Alligator mississippiensis: one gene and its partner. The protein of the gene in region 2 binds, or shares a complex with, the protein of the main gene of each other region. Links are inferred from orthologs where the notes say so. Each region holds a gene or a part of one and is shown on either strand. Other genes may lie near its edges.

Region 1 (7,790 bases), on a different chromosome or scaffold from region 2:
TCCTCTGAACATCCAGGAATCAGGCCAGTGGTCAGTTTAGTGAACAGTAGCCCAAAAAAGTGTTGCCATGCAGATGAAATACCAGCTAGACCGCAACTGTGCATACTCCTGCTTGAAGCTATTAAACTTCATGCTGAACAACACAATTTTGCTCCAGAGTATATTACAACTGTCCATTCACTCTAGAAGGGCATGTAATGATTCCTAATACATATTTTTGTAGATCAGCTTAAGTTCATGAACTGCTTTGGAATTCTCTGGCTTCAAGTGATATAACTCACTTAATTCATTATTATAAGTTATTAATACTGCTTAGCTAGACACTAGCCTGCAGATGCACACAGTTAGCAAATTAATAATCATTGCCACCTAACCCCAAAATATCTTTTAGAAGTAAACTTTTGTATAAACACTAGAGGTACACCGATATATCAGTCACAAATTGGATGGGCACCGGTAACAGAAAAATTAACATCATTGGCAATTGGCTTTTTTTGGCCAATAGTCACTGATAAATGCTGTGTGCATGCAAGCAGCTGCATGCTGCAGCCTGGCAGAGTGGAGAGCAGCCTCTGGCCAGTAAGTCTATTGGGGGGGGGGGCAGGGGGGAAGGAGCAAAGGGGGCAGACTGAGGCCCCAACAGGGAGGGAGTAGGGCAGGGGCAGCTGCTGCCCAGGTGGGTCGGGGTGTGGGATGGAGCCGCCGGAGGCTCATCGGGCGGACATGGGGGGTGGAGAAGGGAGGGCCGCTCAGTGGAGGCATGGGGGCCATGTGTGCCCACCCCCCCCACTTGTGCGTGGGGTGAAGGCAGGCTGCCCGCTGCAGGCATGGTGCCAGGGGCTGTGCCAGCCTCTTTTTGGCAGGGGGGCTAGGCCAGGGCTGTAGTCAGGGCAGGGGCAAGGCAGGTTCAGCTGTATGGGGCAGGCAGCAGTGGCGCTGGGAGAGGTGGCTACGGGGGCACTATGGAAAACTTTGGGGTGGTCATAGCCCCCCAAATGCCCCCTAGTGCTGTCCCTGCTCAAGGCACTGCACTCTGCAACAGCTGAGCCTACCTGAGCCCTACCCACAGCTCTGGCCTAGCCTACCTCCCCTCCCACCTTCCGGGAAGAGGCTGGTGCAGCCCCAAGCCCGCCCTTCCCCAACACACAATTCTGGGAGGGGAGGCACTTGCCCCTCATGCCTTCAGTCGAGGACCAAGCAGTGACATGGAGCCACCCCCCCCACCCCACCCCGGACAAGCTACCTGCAGCTCCGTCCCGCACCCCGCCCTGGGGTAACATTTACAGCCCCAGCTGGGCAACACCTGCTCCTGCCCCACTCCCTCCCTCAAGTGGGGGCCTTGATCTGCACCTTCCTCCTGCCCCCCCCACCCCCCCGGACTTACCAGCCAGACGCCGCATTCCTATAAATCAGCTACCAGCTTTGTATTGGCCAATATGGCTGGCTAATAATCAGCCATCAGTATCGGCCAAGAAAATCTTTATCGGTGCACCCTAAATACACACTTATTTTATTTTACAGAACTCTGGAGGAAAAACTGGGGGACAAGAAATTTATGGTGGAATATGTAATTGAACTCTAGTCTTCCAAGACCTGGGTTAATACAGAAGTGCTGGTTCAGTGTCAACTCTGAAAATACTGTTTTCTGGATCAGTTCCACATGTATATACAAAACAATGAATAGGCAATTTAAACTAGACAAACGTCATCACTTTTTGCATCACCTTTTTTTTCTTTGAGACATCAGATAATTACTAACTAGATCTGTACCAGTTTAAACATAAGATACAACAGATTTACATCCCTAAATCATATAATTCACATCAGAGGTTCCCAAACTTTTTCTTATTGTACATCCCCTTCCAGATTTACCAGCTGCCAGTATAGAAATTATATTTTAACCCCTTATATGCCATCTATTATTATAATGAAAATTAAATCCACCATTACATAATTTCTCCCACGTACTTCCAGAAATATCTTGCGTGCCCCGTGGGGTACATGTACCACAGTTTGAGAACTCCTGATTCAGATGATACATTCAACTTGTGTTCAAACACCATTCAATGGCGAGTCTTTAGCCTTATATTTGAAACATATACTAGAGCATAACCAGTATTCACCAAGAGATTGATGTCTTGATTCCCTTGAGACACTAATCAAAATGTAAACTTCCAATCTTTTTACTACTTTGACAGCTTGTTTGTACTCAACTACAAGACACCGTATTTTTCCCCAAATTAACACAGGGGGCGGGGGAGGCGGGAAGCCCCCCGAGTCACAAACTGTTCCCCCTGCCCAGCTCCTTTGGCTCAGGCCTTGGCTCCAGCCTGGAGCACATGGTTGGGCGGGCCTCAGCCTGGCCACATGGCAGTGATGGTGGCAACTCCAGCCCAGGCCCCAGACCTGTCAGCACAGTGTGAAGCTGGAGTAACTACTGCCATGTGGTCAAACTGGGACCAGAGAGTAAATAGTGGTGGGTGGGGGTGGGAGCACAGCCGGAGATGGTGGGGGCAGGCAGCAGGGGAGGAAGCATGAATCTATGCATCTATAAGCAGCCAAGCAGTGTTGGGGGGCAAATGGCAGGAGTCAGCCCACCCTCCCACCCGTGCTCACCCTGCTGCAGAGCAGGGAGGGCTGGGGGCAGAGCAGGAATTTAAGGCAACTCTCCAATAACTGGATTCTGCAAGTGGAAAACCACAACGAAAACAAACAGGTAAGTTTGCCATGTCTAGAAGCTGATGGGGGGGGAGGAGCATCTTAAATTCAGCACCGTCTTGGGCCCCAGCACAGGGGGCCGTCTCGCTGTCTCTCTCAGGGAAGGTTTCCTTAGGGCCAGTGCGCACTTTCACCATTCACAACCAGCAGCTCGAGTCAAGGTGACCGGGGCCCAGCGGCAGGGGAGGATGAACAGGTGCCCTCCTCACCCTGCTCCCTGCAGGCCGCTTCCTATGCAAAACCTCTGCCGGCCCTTCCCTTCCCCCGCCGCAGCGAGCCGCCCCCCTCTCGGGAGCGCCGTGCGGCCGCCAGACCCGCCCCCTCCCCCGTTCCCGGGGCCGCCCGCGGCCTCCCCTGCTCTGCCCCTGTCAGTCCGCCACCCCTCACGCCCCCTCCCCCCAGCTCACGTGGCGGTGGGGCCCGGTTGGCCCAACGTGCTGCCGGGCCCGGGCAGGCCGGGCGCGGCCTACGGGCGCGGGGGGGGGGGGGGCGCCCCCAGCCCCGGGTCGGGGGGCGCCACCCTCAGGCGCGGCCCCCCAGCCCCACTCTACTCCCCCGGCGCACGGCGGTACCTGCGCGCGGGGCCGGAGCCGGACCGGGCCGGGGCGGCGGTGACTCAGGAGCGAGGAGGAGGCGGCGCCGCGCGGCTGGCGGTAAAAGGGCCCGGGCTCCCGCCGCTCGCGCTCATATAGAATTCACGTCACCACGCAGCGCGCCCGCCCCCTCCCTCCTCCCCCTCCCCCTTCCCCTTCCCCGCGCGCCCCTGTCGCCAAGACAACGCGAGCGCGCGCACTCCACCCCCCCCAACGCCTCCCGAAGGCCGGCGGGAACTCTCCCCTCCCAGCCTGCACAGCCTGGCCAGGCAGGGCGCCTGCGCAATAGCAAGGCCTGCGCGCGCAGCCGGCACCCTCCTCTCCCGCCCTCAACTTGGCCATAGCAGAGCTCATGCGCGTTATCTGCACGGGAGCTGCTGGGCTTGCGAGTGACGCCCCTCCCCCAGCCCGCACGCGCTTCCTGCCTGGGCGGGGCTGGCCTGAGCCCGCGCTCATCCCGCCAGGCCGGTGGCGTTGGCTGCGGAGGCACGGGACAGGCCGCCGGCGCCTCAGGCCACGTGCCAAAAATCTAGGAGACCAGGTTCTTTGGGTAGATGCGATCTCTTATAGCAGTACTCAGTCTGCTTGATAAAAGAGACTGCATCTACCCAGAGAACTCGCCTTCCCCTGTCCTGAGACCAGCAGGGCTACAACCCATCAGTATAGCAGAGCATTCCTCTGCCTGACGAAGGCTGTTTCCGTGCCAGACTGTGCAAAGAACCTTTTTTTCCCGACTATTTAGTTGGTTTAATAAAAGATCACATCTACGCAAACACAGGGGACTGGTGCCTCCTGAGTCTGGGCGGGCACCTGCCCACACCATCAGTGGCATGGGCATAGCTGGTGAGCACTGTGCTGCCCAGGCTGCACTGTGCTGCTATATCAAGGTAACCCAAAGAACCTCGCCTGCATAAATATAGCACTGTGCTGCTCAGGCTACCCAGTATTTCCCTCATAGTGTTGTAAAGGCCCTCACAGAGAGCATCCCTGCCCTGCAGAACCAGGCTGGGGGAGAGCTGACAGGTTATCTACTGACAGAAGAAGAAGGAAACGCACAAAGTGGCCAGACCACAGAAATGCCCCCCAAGCCATTACTTAATCTGGAGAGAAATGTGGTAGGGGAACAGGGCAAATCAACAGAGAAAGGACCTTGTTCTGTAGTTTTAGTCCCCTATAACATCATGAGATTCAGGCTGGGACAGCAAACCTGAGAGAGACAGGCCTAAAGGAGAAATGTAAAGACAGAAAATGGAGGGTGAGGGTAAGGGTTGTTCCCCCACAACAGTTATTCCTAGTGCTGCAGACCCTGTTGTGTTTTGGGCTCCATGACATGCCATCATTTTCTGGTGTTTTATTGTACTGATAGGGCAGGTGTGGGCTCATTTGAAATCCCAGTTAAAAAGTGTTGTGCCAACTCTATGCTACTATCACTGTATGGATTATGTTAAGCTGGCTGTGTATATCTCTATGGTTTTGGATGTTTTAGCCAGAGAACAAAGTAGGAAGACAAAATGTCAAACAAAGGTGCTGGAGCACGGAGGACTGACACACTCAGGACCCGCCATCAAGAAGAGGAGGTTGTGATGGCTTGACCAAGTCAGGAGAATGGGAAGACACCATATCCCCAAGAATATTTGATACAGTGAGAGATTCGAGGCAGTTCTAGAAAGAAGGGTCGCGCTCTGTGGCAGTACCACAACACATGCAGAAATGATAAGTTGTTTGACATCAGCATAGAAAGCTGGGAGGAGCACGCAGAATCCCGTCCAATCTGGAGGGAACATCTGGAACTGGGTGCAGCTCACCATGAAGCAGCTTTGATCCAGAGGATGGAAGCAAAGTGAGAAAGAAGGACATAGTGTGCTGTAAACTTGGACTCCAACTCAGACAATACATGGCTGTGTGAAACTTGTAACAAGTTGTGTCACTTTCAAACTGGGCTTGTCAGTCACAAGCAGATTCACCAAGCACCTGACTAGACTTCTTAGGCGTACACCATGATCCAGAGGATCGGTGGTCGCCTAAAGAGCCAGAGAACTCAGAGAGTGGGCAGAACTCCTAATTAACTCTTGCTGTTGCTTCTAGGGCCAGAAAAATTGCTACTCACAATAGCAAAAGAAAGGGGCTGCTGGTGGGATGGGCACCCTTGGACATTGTTCACTATGATATGGGTAATGAACTGTATAGTAGTGAAGGCTATAAGGAGTAATGGCCCATCAAGCCAGCAGGACTCCAGGTGCTCCAAGAACACCAGAAGTTTCTGGGGGATTCTGGTTACTCATCATCGTTATAATGCTGCTAATTATGGGGAGGGTTTGGGGGGCTTACAGGCATGACCTTAGATGAGCTAGAATATTCATCTTTGAATCTCAGGCTTCGGGAGTTTGCTGGCCCCAGTTACAAGGTGTAACTGCCAGAGTCAGCAGAAAGGCCTCTGGAAAAGACTCTCATGGATGGCTAGGGGGAGCCAGATGAGAGGGTAAGAATCTACACTTGTTCTATGTTTCTGTCTCCAAACCTATGGTCTGTATTATTTGTATGGCTCTTTCATACTATGTAATGAATCCTTTCTCTGTTTGGCTTCTTACTAGTGGCCAATGGAAAGAGTGATTTTTAGGTGAGAGATATTCCAGGCTGATTCTCTTCCCAGAAAAGGTGACCTATAATTCTTCCAAAACACAAAAGTGGGAGCCACTTGGGGCTGGCAAAAATCCCTCATTACAGCTGCAGAAACTGGTGTAAGAGGAACTAAGGTGCAGGAATAGTGAAGCCACACACACACTTGGAGAAGGTGATTAGGGACAGTCAACATGGATTCATCACGAGCAAGTCATGCCTGACCAACTTGGTTGCCTTCTATGACAAGACAAATGGCTCTGTGGATCCAGGGATAGCAGTGGACGTGATCTACTGAGACTTTAGCAAGGCTTTTGATACAGTCTCCCACAACATTCTCACAACCGAGCTAAGGAAGTCCGGGTTGGATGAACGGACTGTAAGGTGGATAGAAAACTGGCTGGATTGTTAGGCCCAAAGGGCAGTAATCAATGACTTGATGTCTAGTTGGCAGCTGGCATCAAGTGTACCCCAGGGATCAGTCCTGGGGCCAGTTTTGTTCAGTATCTTCATCAACAACCTGGAAGATGGCATAGGGTGCACCTATGCAAGTTTGTAGATGACACCAAGCTGGGGGGAATACTAGATATGCTGGAGGGTAGGACTAGGATTCAGAGAGACCTCAATGGATTGGAGGATTGGACAAAAGAAATCTCATAAGATTCAATAAGGACAAGTGCAAAGTCCTGCACTTATGATGGAACAATCCCATGCACCCATACAGGCTGGGATCCAACTGGCTAAGCAGCAGCTCTGCAAAAAAAGACCTGAGGGTTACAGTCGACAATAAGCTGAATGTGAGCCAAGAGTGTGCCCTTGTTATGAAGAAGGATAACACCATACTGGTCTGCATTAGGAGGGATGTTCCTAGCAGATTAATGTAAGTGTAAGTGATTATTCCCCTCTATTCTGTACTGGCAGGCCACATCTCCAGTACTGTGTCCAGTTTTGGGCCTCCCACTCCAAAAAGGATGTGTACAAATTGGAGAGAGTCCAGCAGAGGACCACAAAAATGGTTAGAAGGCTAGGGAACAGGGCTTATGAGTTTTGCAGAAACTGCAAATTTGGTAGGTCTATGAAAAAGCAGGAAAACGGGGACGGGGGAATGAAGGGAGCTGCAAACGGAGGCAGGAAGCCCTGATGTGCTGAAGCCCAGGAAGGGAGAGGGAAGTGGGAGGGAGCAGGAGGAGATTTTTGTGGTGGAGCTGGCAGCCCCTCCCCATGCCTCTGATTGGCTGAGGGGTCTCACAAGTCCCACCCCTTCCCAGAGATTGACAAATAGCCATCTATCAACCTCCAGGGAGGAGCTGGAGAGGCCCCTCCCTTCCTCTGATTCTGAGGGGCCCCAGCAGCCCTTCCCCTCCCCAGAGATTGATAGGTGACCATCTGTCAATCCCCACGGAGGGCCAGAAGAGCCCCCCCATGCCTCTGATTGGCCAAGGGGCACCAAAAGTCCTATCCCTCCCTGGAGATTGACAGGTGGCCACCTATCAATCTTTGGAGAAGGGTGGGACTTCTGGGGCCCCTCAGCCAATCAGAGGCATGGGTGCAGTGGCGCTCCACTATGAAAATGACACCCAACACCATGCCAGGACTGTGACTTTGGAGGCAACCTCTATGAATTACGTAGGTCCCTATTTAGGAGGGAGGCTGAGGGATTTGGGCTTATTCAATCTGGAGAAGAGAAGACTGAAGGGTGGATTTAATAGCAGCCTTCAGCTACCTGATGGGTGGGTGGTTCCAAAGAGGATGGAGCTAGACTGCTCTCAGTGGTGGCAGCTGACAGAACAAGGAGCAATGGTCTCAAGTTGCAGCAAGGGAAGTTTAGGTTGGATATTAGGGAAAATCTCTCTCATTAGGAGG
Region 2 (7,819 bases):
TTGCTAATGCCTAAAACTACTGTAACTGCAATAGTTACCATTCCTCCTTCCCAGCCTGAATTACTGCATTTACACTTTGCATCTTCACGTTTGGACAATGAAAACCATCAGTTTCTCGTGCGTTAGCAAAACCTGCAGCATTCAGGTCAGAAGTGATACACAGTTTTATGAACTGTGAACAGATGTGAAATGAAATATCCTGTAAGGTTTACCAGAATCACAAACGCAATCCAAACTGTACCAAATGGCCTCTCAGTTTGGTGAGTAGAGGGAAATTTTCAGACGGGGAAGGGCAGCAAGAAGTCAAAGGGATACGTCTTCCTAAATTCCTTCAGCACTTTGGAATTCCCCCGACAACACATTTTATCTGTTAAGTCTCTGACCTTTGCAAAGGAAATAGGGCAATAAAAGAGAAAGGAAAAAGGCTACTAATTTAAACAACCTCTTTTGATTTCTCATAGCAAGAGAGCCAAGCCTTCTGCCTATACTGAAGAGAGGAAAAAAAGGTGCCATGAGAAAATGGATACTGCTATTTTCTACTCAAGGACCCTGATAATGAATCCTAAATTCGAAGCTTCATGCTTTAGGTGCCAAAAATTGATTTAAGAGCTTAACTCCAGTCATTTTTAAAAGAATTTTCGTGTGAAAAGGAACGATTGCCTGATGGACCACAAGTCCAAGAAGGGTTGAAAAATAAATGCAGAAATACTGTGCATAGTACTAATAGCCTTCTATATTTCATATTGTGTGCCTTAACTGTTCACGTGCCTGGTGATGACAGACCCTAAATTTAGCTCAGACCATTAGCATTTTATGATCCTACCGATTTCTACTAGAATTACAAATGCACTGATTGCTTCAGAAGTCCAGGGAGGATTCTACAGAGGGAGGTCAAAGACTGTGCAGAGAGCGCGCGCATGCTTGCACTTAGCCCCACAGAGCAGAATACAACCTCTCTGCTGCCAGGACAGCACAGGCCTTCTGTTTTGTTCTGCGTGACGCCCATTCATCACAGACCCCTTTGTATTATGATACAGTGCCCTCTCTCTCCCTCTCTTTTGTCTCCCCTGTATTATCAGTCACTGTGTGTAACAATCCCACCACTAGGCTAACTTTGGGAAGTGGGAGCAGTGGAAAAGCAGGCCTCAAATCCTTCCAGCAATGCCTTGCAGCTCTTCAAAGAGGGGTAAAGGGGTTGAACTTTACACAGGCCTGACTGCCAGCAAGGACCACTGGAGAGAAAAACAAGGGTAAATCCATGAATCCACCCTGGTCTAAAACCTTCAGCTGGTCAAGCCTAGCACAGACATCTCACACATTCCATATGAGAAGGAGATATAGGATATACGCTGTACCGGCTTCTACCGAGAGTGGAGAAACTCCTTTATGACCTCTTCACAGTTTAATTCACCTTCACATACTAACAGTTTTCAAATCTTTGGGTGGGGAAAGAAGGGGAGGCTCATTTTCAACCAAAAAACCCAGGCTGGCCCGGGGTGGCTGCCTCTAGACTCTGCACGGTCTGTAGTTGAGACTCAAGCAGAATCCAACACCAAGTTTGAACATGTCGAGACCTGATGTGGCTCATTTCCCCCTCCTCCCAAACACACCAGCACCAGCAGACGCGAGGAACCCGCTGCGCTTCCAAAGGAAACGAGGAATTATTTTAAGCCACGGCGACTCCAGGCCGCGCTGGCTCCCAGCAGCAGCCGTGCAAAGCAGCCCAGCAACTGGGGCACAGGGTGGCTGTGGGGCATGCCTACAGGCTCAGCTGGCTGAGGTAGGCCACCGCGGCCCCCGGGGTCCCCCCGTCCCTCGCGCACCGAGGCAGCGACCGGCTTCCAAGCAATGTGCCTTTCATTCAGACATGGCTGCAGCCAACGCGCGTGCCTGACACCCCGGGCCAGCCCAGATGCATGGGGGGGCTGCACACCTGGGGGCAAAACTTGACTTTAGCAGGAGACAAGCAGCACTGGGGGGTGCCAGTGAATTTCAGATCCGGGTGGGGCCCGGCCTGGTAACACGGGCAGACGTCACATTGCACCAGGATTGGGGCCAGGGTGGGGAGCACTATGGCGTGGGGGGGTTCTGGTTCAATACATGCATATATCATAATACATTCCCTTAATACGTGGGGATGGGGAGATTCGGGGTGCAGCCCCCACACAAATACATGCATACTACGCAAATATATACATATATGCCAATGGGCCCATTTAATAAGTAAATATGAGGGGATGGGGAGCATGGTTCAGGGTGCTGCCCCTGCACACAAATAGACACTATGCAAATATATTATATGCGCTAATGCCCCCACTTAACATGCAAATATGCAGGGATGGGGGTGGGGTTCAGGATGCAGCCACCAGAGACAAATACATAGATAGTATGGAGATACATTATATGTGCTAATACCCCCACTTAACGTGCAAATAGGAGGGGAGGGGGCTTGGGGTGCACCCTCACACATGAAGACTAAGGTGGTGTACAAATATATGACTATCCCCACTTCATATACGAATACACGGGGACGGGGGACTCAGGGCGCAGCCCCCACTGATGAGTAGGTAGATATTATGCAAATATATACAGGTATCCCCGCTTAACAGGGACAGAGGAGGGGACGGGGCGGTTTGGGGTGCAGCCCCCATACCTTAATCGGCAGGCATTAGGCAAATACATGCATGTGTGCTAATGTCCCCACTTAATAGGCACAGGCGCGGGGCCGGGCGGTCTGGGCGCGCCCCGCACGCGGCACGCAGGTGGTGTGCCACCGCACGCCAGGGTCCCGCTCGACACGCGCCCCGAGGTGCTCACGCGGCGGCCGGGCCGGGCCGGGCCGGGCCCCACCTTGGTCTCCTTGACGTGCTGCTTGACGCCCTCGGGGTACCACTGCACCCGCACGTAGCCGCGGCGCAGGGGGCTGGCTCGGCTCTCGTCCGCGCCGCCGGCCCCGGGCGCGCCCGACTCGGAGCCGCCCGAGCTGCCGGCGCCGGCGCCGGCGCCGCGGCCGCCCTCGTCCTCCTCAGAGTCCGAGTCCTCGCCGTGGATGAGCCGCACCAGGCCGAAGCGCACGGCGCCCCGGTAGCGCCCCGACACCAGGTCGTGCGAGAAGAGCAGGCGCTGCGAGCCGGCGGCGGGGGGCTCGGGCGCGGCGGTGGCGGCGGGGGGCTCGGGCTCAGGCTCGGCCGGCGCTGGAGCCGGAGCCGGGGCCGGGGCCGGCGCGGGCGCTGCGGGCTGCTCCGCCATGGCGCCGGTCTGCGTGAGCGGGGGGCGCCGCGGGCAGGAGGCGGCGGGGGCGGGGCCAGGTCGCGTCACGGCCGGGGGGGCGGGGCTGGAGGCGGGCCCCCGCCCACTGCGCGACGGCGAGACTCGCGTCAAGGCCCCACCCACCGCGGGCTGCTCGGACGCTACGTGTGCCAGACAGCGGTAGCCCCGCCCACTGCCGGGAGCCGGATGTTAGCCCGCCCCTTCGGGAGACGCGTCACGGCCCGGCGGCGAGGCCCCGCCCACCGCGGGCAGCCCGGGAGTGACGTCTCCCTGCCTGCGGTAAGCCCCGCCCGCCACCGGGAGCCGGATGTTGGCCCGCCCCTTCGGGAGACGCGTCTCTCCGAGGGGATTTGGGCAGGGCCCTGCCTTCAGTCAGTGGCAGAGGAGTGCTGCCCACCTCGCTCGTGGTGTCATAGTTGTTAGGGGCTGGAAGGGACCTTGCAGATCATCGGGTCCAGCCCCCCTGCACGTGGGCAGGACAGACCGCTGGGGTCAGATGCCCCAGCAAGGTGGGCGTCAAGACACTTTGTACCCATTGTATCTTGTCCTCTGCTGGGGGGGCCTTGGTGAATAGATGCTCCCCCAGGCCCTGATGTGCGCCCCTCATAGACTTATAGTCCCCTCTGTGTCTGGGGACACGGCTCCCCTGCTCCCGGGGAGCAGCCATCGTGCCGGAGGGCTTCTTGTGCAGGATTTTTGCTCCCCCCCCAAGGCTTGAGACTTCATTTTGCAGAGGAAAGGTGTCACCCCCTGGTTGTGGAAGGAGCCGCCCTGTGCCAGGCCCTTCCCCAGGGCAGGGGTGGCCATCTCTGTATCGCCCTGGAGTCACAGGGCTCGGAAATTGGTGCCGCATCTGGACCTAGCCAGCACTGAACGAAAAGGGAAATCGTGAATAAAACAGATGTTTTTCCTCTGCAAAATAAAGTCTCAAGACTTGGGTGGGGAGGAGCAAACATCCTGCATTAGGTGCTGGCAAGCAGGGCAGGGCTGAGCATGCGTGTGCCTGTGCCCCCCTCCCCTGCATCCTCCCAGCCCTACTGAGCAGCATCCCTTTGTGCCCTTACCCCCGTGTGCTGGTCCAGCGCCGTGCTGGGGGTCCCTGGTCATGCTTCATCAGGCCTCGCCTGACTTCCTGGTGCCCCTGCTGATGCCCAGCCTAACAGCAGCAGAAGAGGGCTCCACAACCTTCTTCCCTGTCTGATCTTCCCCCACCTGTAGCCCCACGTGCACAGCCCGTGTCTCCATGTGCTCTGCCAGCCCAGACCCTTTGCCAGCTGGCGTCTGATGCCTCAGGTGCACATTGCCCTGGAGACTGGTCTGCTGCACTAGGACCCCCCTACTCCAGCTCCCTGTGAGCTTGTGATCCTACTGCTCTAGGGTCTGCATGGCTGACTCCAGGTCTCCAGGGGGAGGTTAAGGTATTAGTTTTAATCCTTAAAGCCCTACGTGGCTGGGGAGTCTGGATCTACCTGCTAAATGGTCTATGGCTGTCCACGATCCCAGATGCACTCGAGCTGAATCCTCCTTGATATAGCTGAGGGGGAGTGCTCAGCAGCCTGATATCCATAAACTGAGAAATTTACTGTTCACCTTGGTATGAAGAGGCTTAAGTCAGCTGAGTTGGAGATAGCCTGGCACGGCTCCTTTGTTTCCTTCTGGGAAGGGAGGGAGAGGCTCCTCAAATGCTGTTTTTCATGAGCTGGGAGGGATATGGAGTAGTTTCAACTTTCACTTTAGGGGCAAGGCCATTTCTGTTGTGGGGAGAAGAGAAGGGGATGAGGAAGTTTCATTGGTGTGTAACTGTAGATTAAACATGTTTCAAGCCACCTTTCTCATCCTCAGCCCTGCTCTGAAGATGGTCTCAGAGACCCATAGACTGTACGTGAGCCCCAAGGAGTAGGAGAAGCAGAGGTATCTAGAGCTTGGACACCAGACCAGCTGCAAAACAAAGAACACCACCCGGTCTCACTCCTGAGGCAGTGCCTAATCTGCCAGGCCCATGTGTCCTAAGGGGAGCATTTCCACTGGCTGCAAAGAAGACCAAAGATACAAATAATTTCAAGCCACTCCATGGCCTAGGCCCAGAGCACCTAATATAGTGCCTCAAACTCCAGGATGAAGATGATGGTTGACAATGTCCCTCTTGGAATTTGGGTAAAACTCATGTTTACAAGAGACAGAATTTTCTTAGGGGCTGATCCTAGTGTGTTGAATGAAATCCCGTGGAAAAGGCCACAAACATTACTACCTGCTCCTCACTATGTTGCAGATCAAAGCCCATTACTTGACCTCTTCCATTTGAGTGAATGGTTGTTAGTCCCAAGGTTTCTCCCAAAGGAAAAGAAATCCAGCAATGCAATCAAGTACCAGCAAAAATACTCCCTCGTATTTCCAGGTCCCCTTGACTCTGGGGGACAAGATCCACCCATAGTCCAAAGAGTGGCTGTGTGTTTCCCAACTTTATGCCAACAAGTTGTGTTGACAGAATGCAACTGTGCATGTAAGTGTGTTTTAAAGGATTCATGTTGTACTCCAAGTCAGACTAGGGTAAATATGGAGTGACGTGATTGACTTCCCCAGCAATCTTCCAGAGTTACAACCACGTGCAGTGTCAGATCAGTGAAAAGGATATAGCAAGCCAAGGTATTACATTTCTGTTCTCAGCTGCCAGAATGGGCTGTTGGGAATCTCTAGGTAGAAGCTAGATCAATTCTTGGACTGTTCTAGCATATGCGTGGTGATAAAATGATCCCCCGTTGTCTCAAAATTAGGAAACTGCAAAGGTGATACAAAGCCATCGTTTCTTCCTCCTTTTTAGGTTTGGCAAAGCTAGAACCAAATATTAGGAGCCTAATCTCTAAGTATAAGGGAAAGGATATAGCTTTATAACACTGTTATTTTGCCTCTAAGAGCATCTCTCAACATTAATCATGGCTTCTTTTGTGATTTCACACCTGGAAACAGAGCAGTGGGTGGAAGGATTCATTGTCTTTTGGGGTAGAAAAGGATAGCATCAATCAAGAAAGAAATGTTAAGTCTCTTATATATGTCAGGTTGAGATAAAACATTCATGAATAGGGGTGAGGAGTGCTTTTAATACTATGAAGCCATTATCTGCATACCATAGAGGCCAGCGATGTGTAACAGCCACTAATTAGTTGCTCACAAGGGGAGAGGAACAGTGGGCATAAACTCAGTGATAAAACACGCTCTAGCCCGACTTGAAGTTGATGGTGCTTCATGTGCGATACTCCACTGTGATGGTGCTAGGGAAGGGGCTGAAGTGGAGGGGATTACTAATTTGTCTGCATGTCCTGGTCACCTTCTCAGCATAGCCACTTCACCTTCAAGGCAATGGCAAGGTGGTTGGCCATTGATACTGTGTCCTTTGAAACCAGGCTGATGTCACTGGAAACAGAAGCGAGTCTTTAGGGATTAAAGGATCTTTAGGATTCCGCTGGACTGGGTAATTTGGACTAGAACAAGTGGTTACGTTCTTTCCATCGTTGACAGAAAAGGATTTTATGTGGCAGCATTCTGGCAGTCCCCAGGCTTTTTCCATCTTCTCTCTGCAGCTTGTACCAACACTGCTTTTAAAAATAATTTATTCCTGGGCATAAATCATGAGTTTATTTGGAACTACCTGGTATTCAGAGTAATTCCCCTCTGTAGAACACCGTTTGGACTTCAGGTTGTACATAGCCGTATGATGCAAATGGGGAGATGAAACTGTTCACCAGAAATGCAACACAGGCGTTTTAATGGAACCCAATCAGGAGTATTTGTTTGTCAGGAACAGAGCAGGTGAGAGCTATTTTCTTCCCTATACTCCTAACTGTGGCTCTGAGGTACTCTCATATGGAAGCACACTTCACTTGTTGGTAAAGAGATCACCTTTGGTTTTAGACTCAGTAGCACAGCATCTGAGCTGCTTCTCCAGACTGACATACTGCTGCTGGCTTTCTGTCCCATGGAAGGACACAGGATAGGAGGAAGGAACAGCTTCTATTAGGTTGACCATGGTAGTAAGACTTAGGAATTTGGGGTTCAGTTCTCAAATCTACCCATGACTTGCCAAGTGAACTCAGGTGAAAAAAGAAATAGCGGCTGATTTTAATTGTGTCACATTCTAGATGCCCAAATTGTGCCAAAAATTCAGACTATCTGTGAAGCCCTGGATCTCCCAGTTTCCTCAGCTACAGTAGTGAATACTCAGCAGTTCTGAAAAGTGAAGCATGTAAAACTGTGCACCCAAAATAGACACACCTTTAAATCAGCGGTTATTTTTGGAAACACTGGCCTTCATCTCTTGGTGGATCAACAGCCCGTCCCTAGTAAAACACATCCCTGATACAAAGCAGTGGTTGCAAGACTTGATTTACTAATGTGTGTCCTCCTGGTCTATGGATAGGTGTTGTCCCTGACCCCAGTGCAGGGATGATATGTGAACTCAAGAACAGCTTTGTCTTTCTGGTGCTCAGATACCGCGGTGGTAGTTGGAGTAGAAATGCAGATAGCTACAACTGTGCACAGATTCCTTACAAGGAGG

Evidence for each region.
Region 1: the proteins of UBE2O (region 2) and NAP1L1 are in contact, whole or in part, in a cryo-EM structure (PDB 7UN6), measured with the Homo sapiens proteins. The link is inferred for Alligator mississippiensis from reciprocal best matches to the Homo sapiens genes UBE2O and NAP1L1. Residues at the interface, in NP_071349.3 of Homo sapiens: Ser225, Asn226, Val282, Lys283, Pro284, Val285, Lys289, Ser290, Lys291, Phe292, Arg293; in NP_001317160.1 of Homo sapiens: Arg333, Arg337, Thr343, Gly344, Glu345, Ala346, Ile347, Asp349.

What each region holds. Positions count from the first base shown.
Region 1 is NC_081827.1:74,579,617-74,587,406, forward strand, and holds the start of NAP1L1 (nucleosome assembly protein 1-like 1), read right to left. Parts: upstream 3,399-7,790; 5' UTR 3,291-3,398; intron 1-3,290. UniProt on the Homo sapiens protein: Histone chaperone that plays a role in the nuclear import of H2A-H2B and nucleosome assembly.
Region 2 is NC_081831.1:13,954,166-13,961,984, forward strand, and holds the start of UBE2O ((E3-independent) E2 ubiquitin-conjugating enzyme), read right to left. Parts: upstream 3,274-7,819; 5' UTR 3,250-3,273; coding exon 2,851-3,249; intron 1-2,850. UniProt on the Homo sapiens protein: E2/E3 hybrid ubiquitin-protein ligase that displays both E2 and E3 ligase activities and mediates monoubiquitination of target proteins. Negatively regulates TRAF6-mediated NF-kappa-B activation independently of its E2 activity.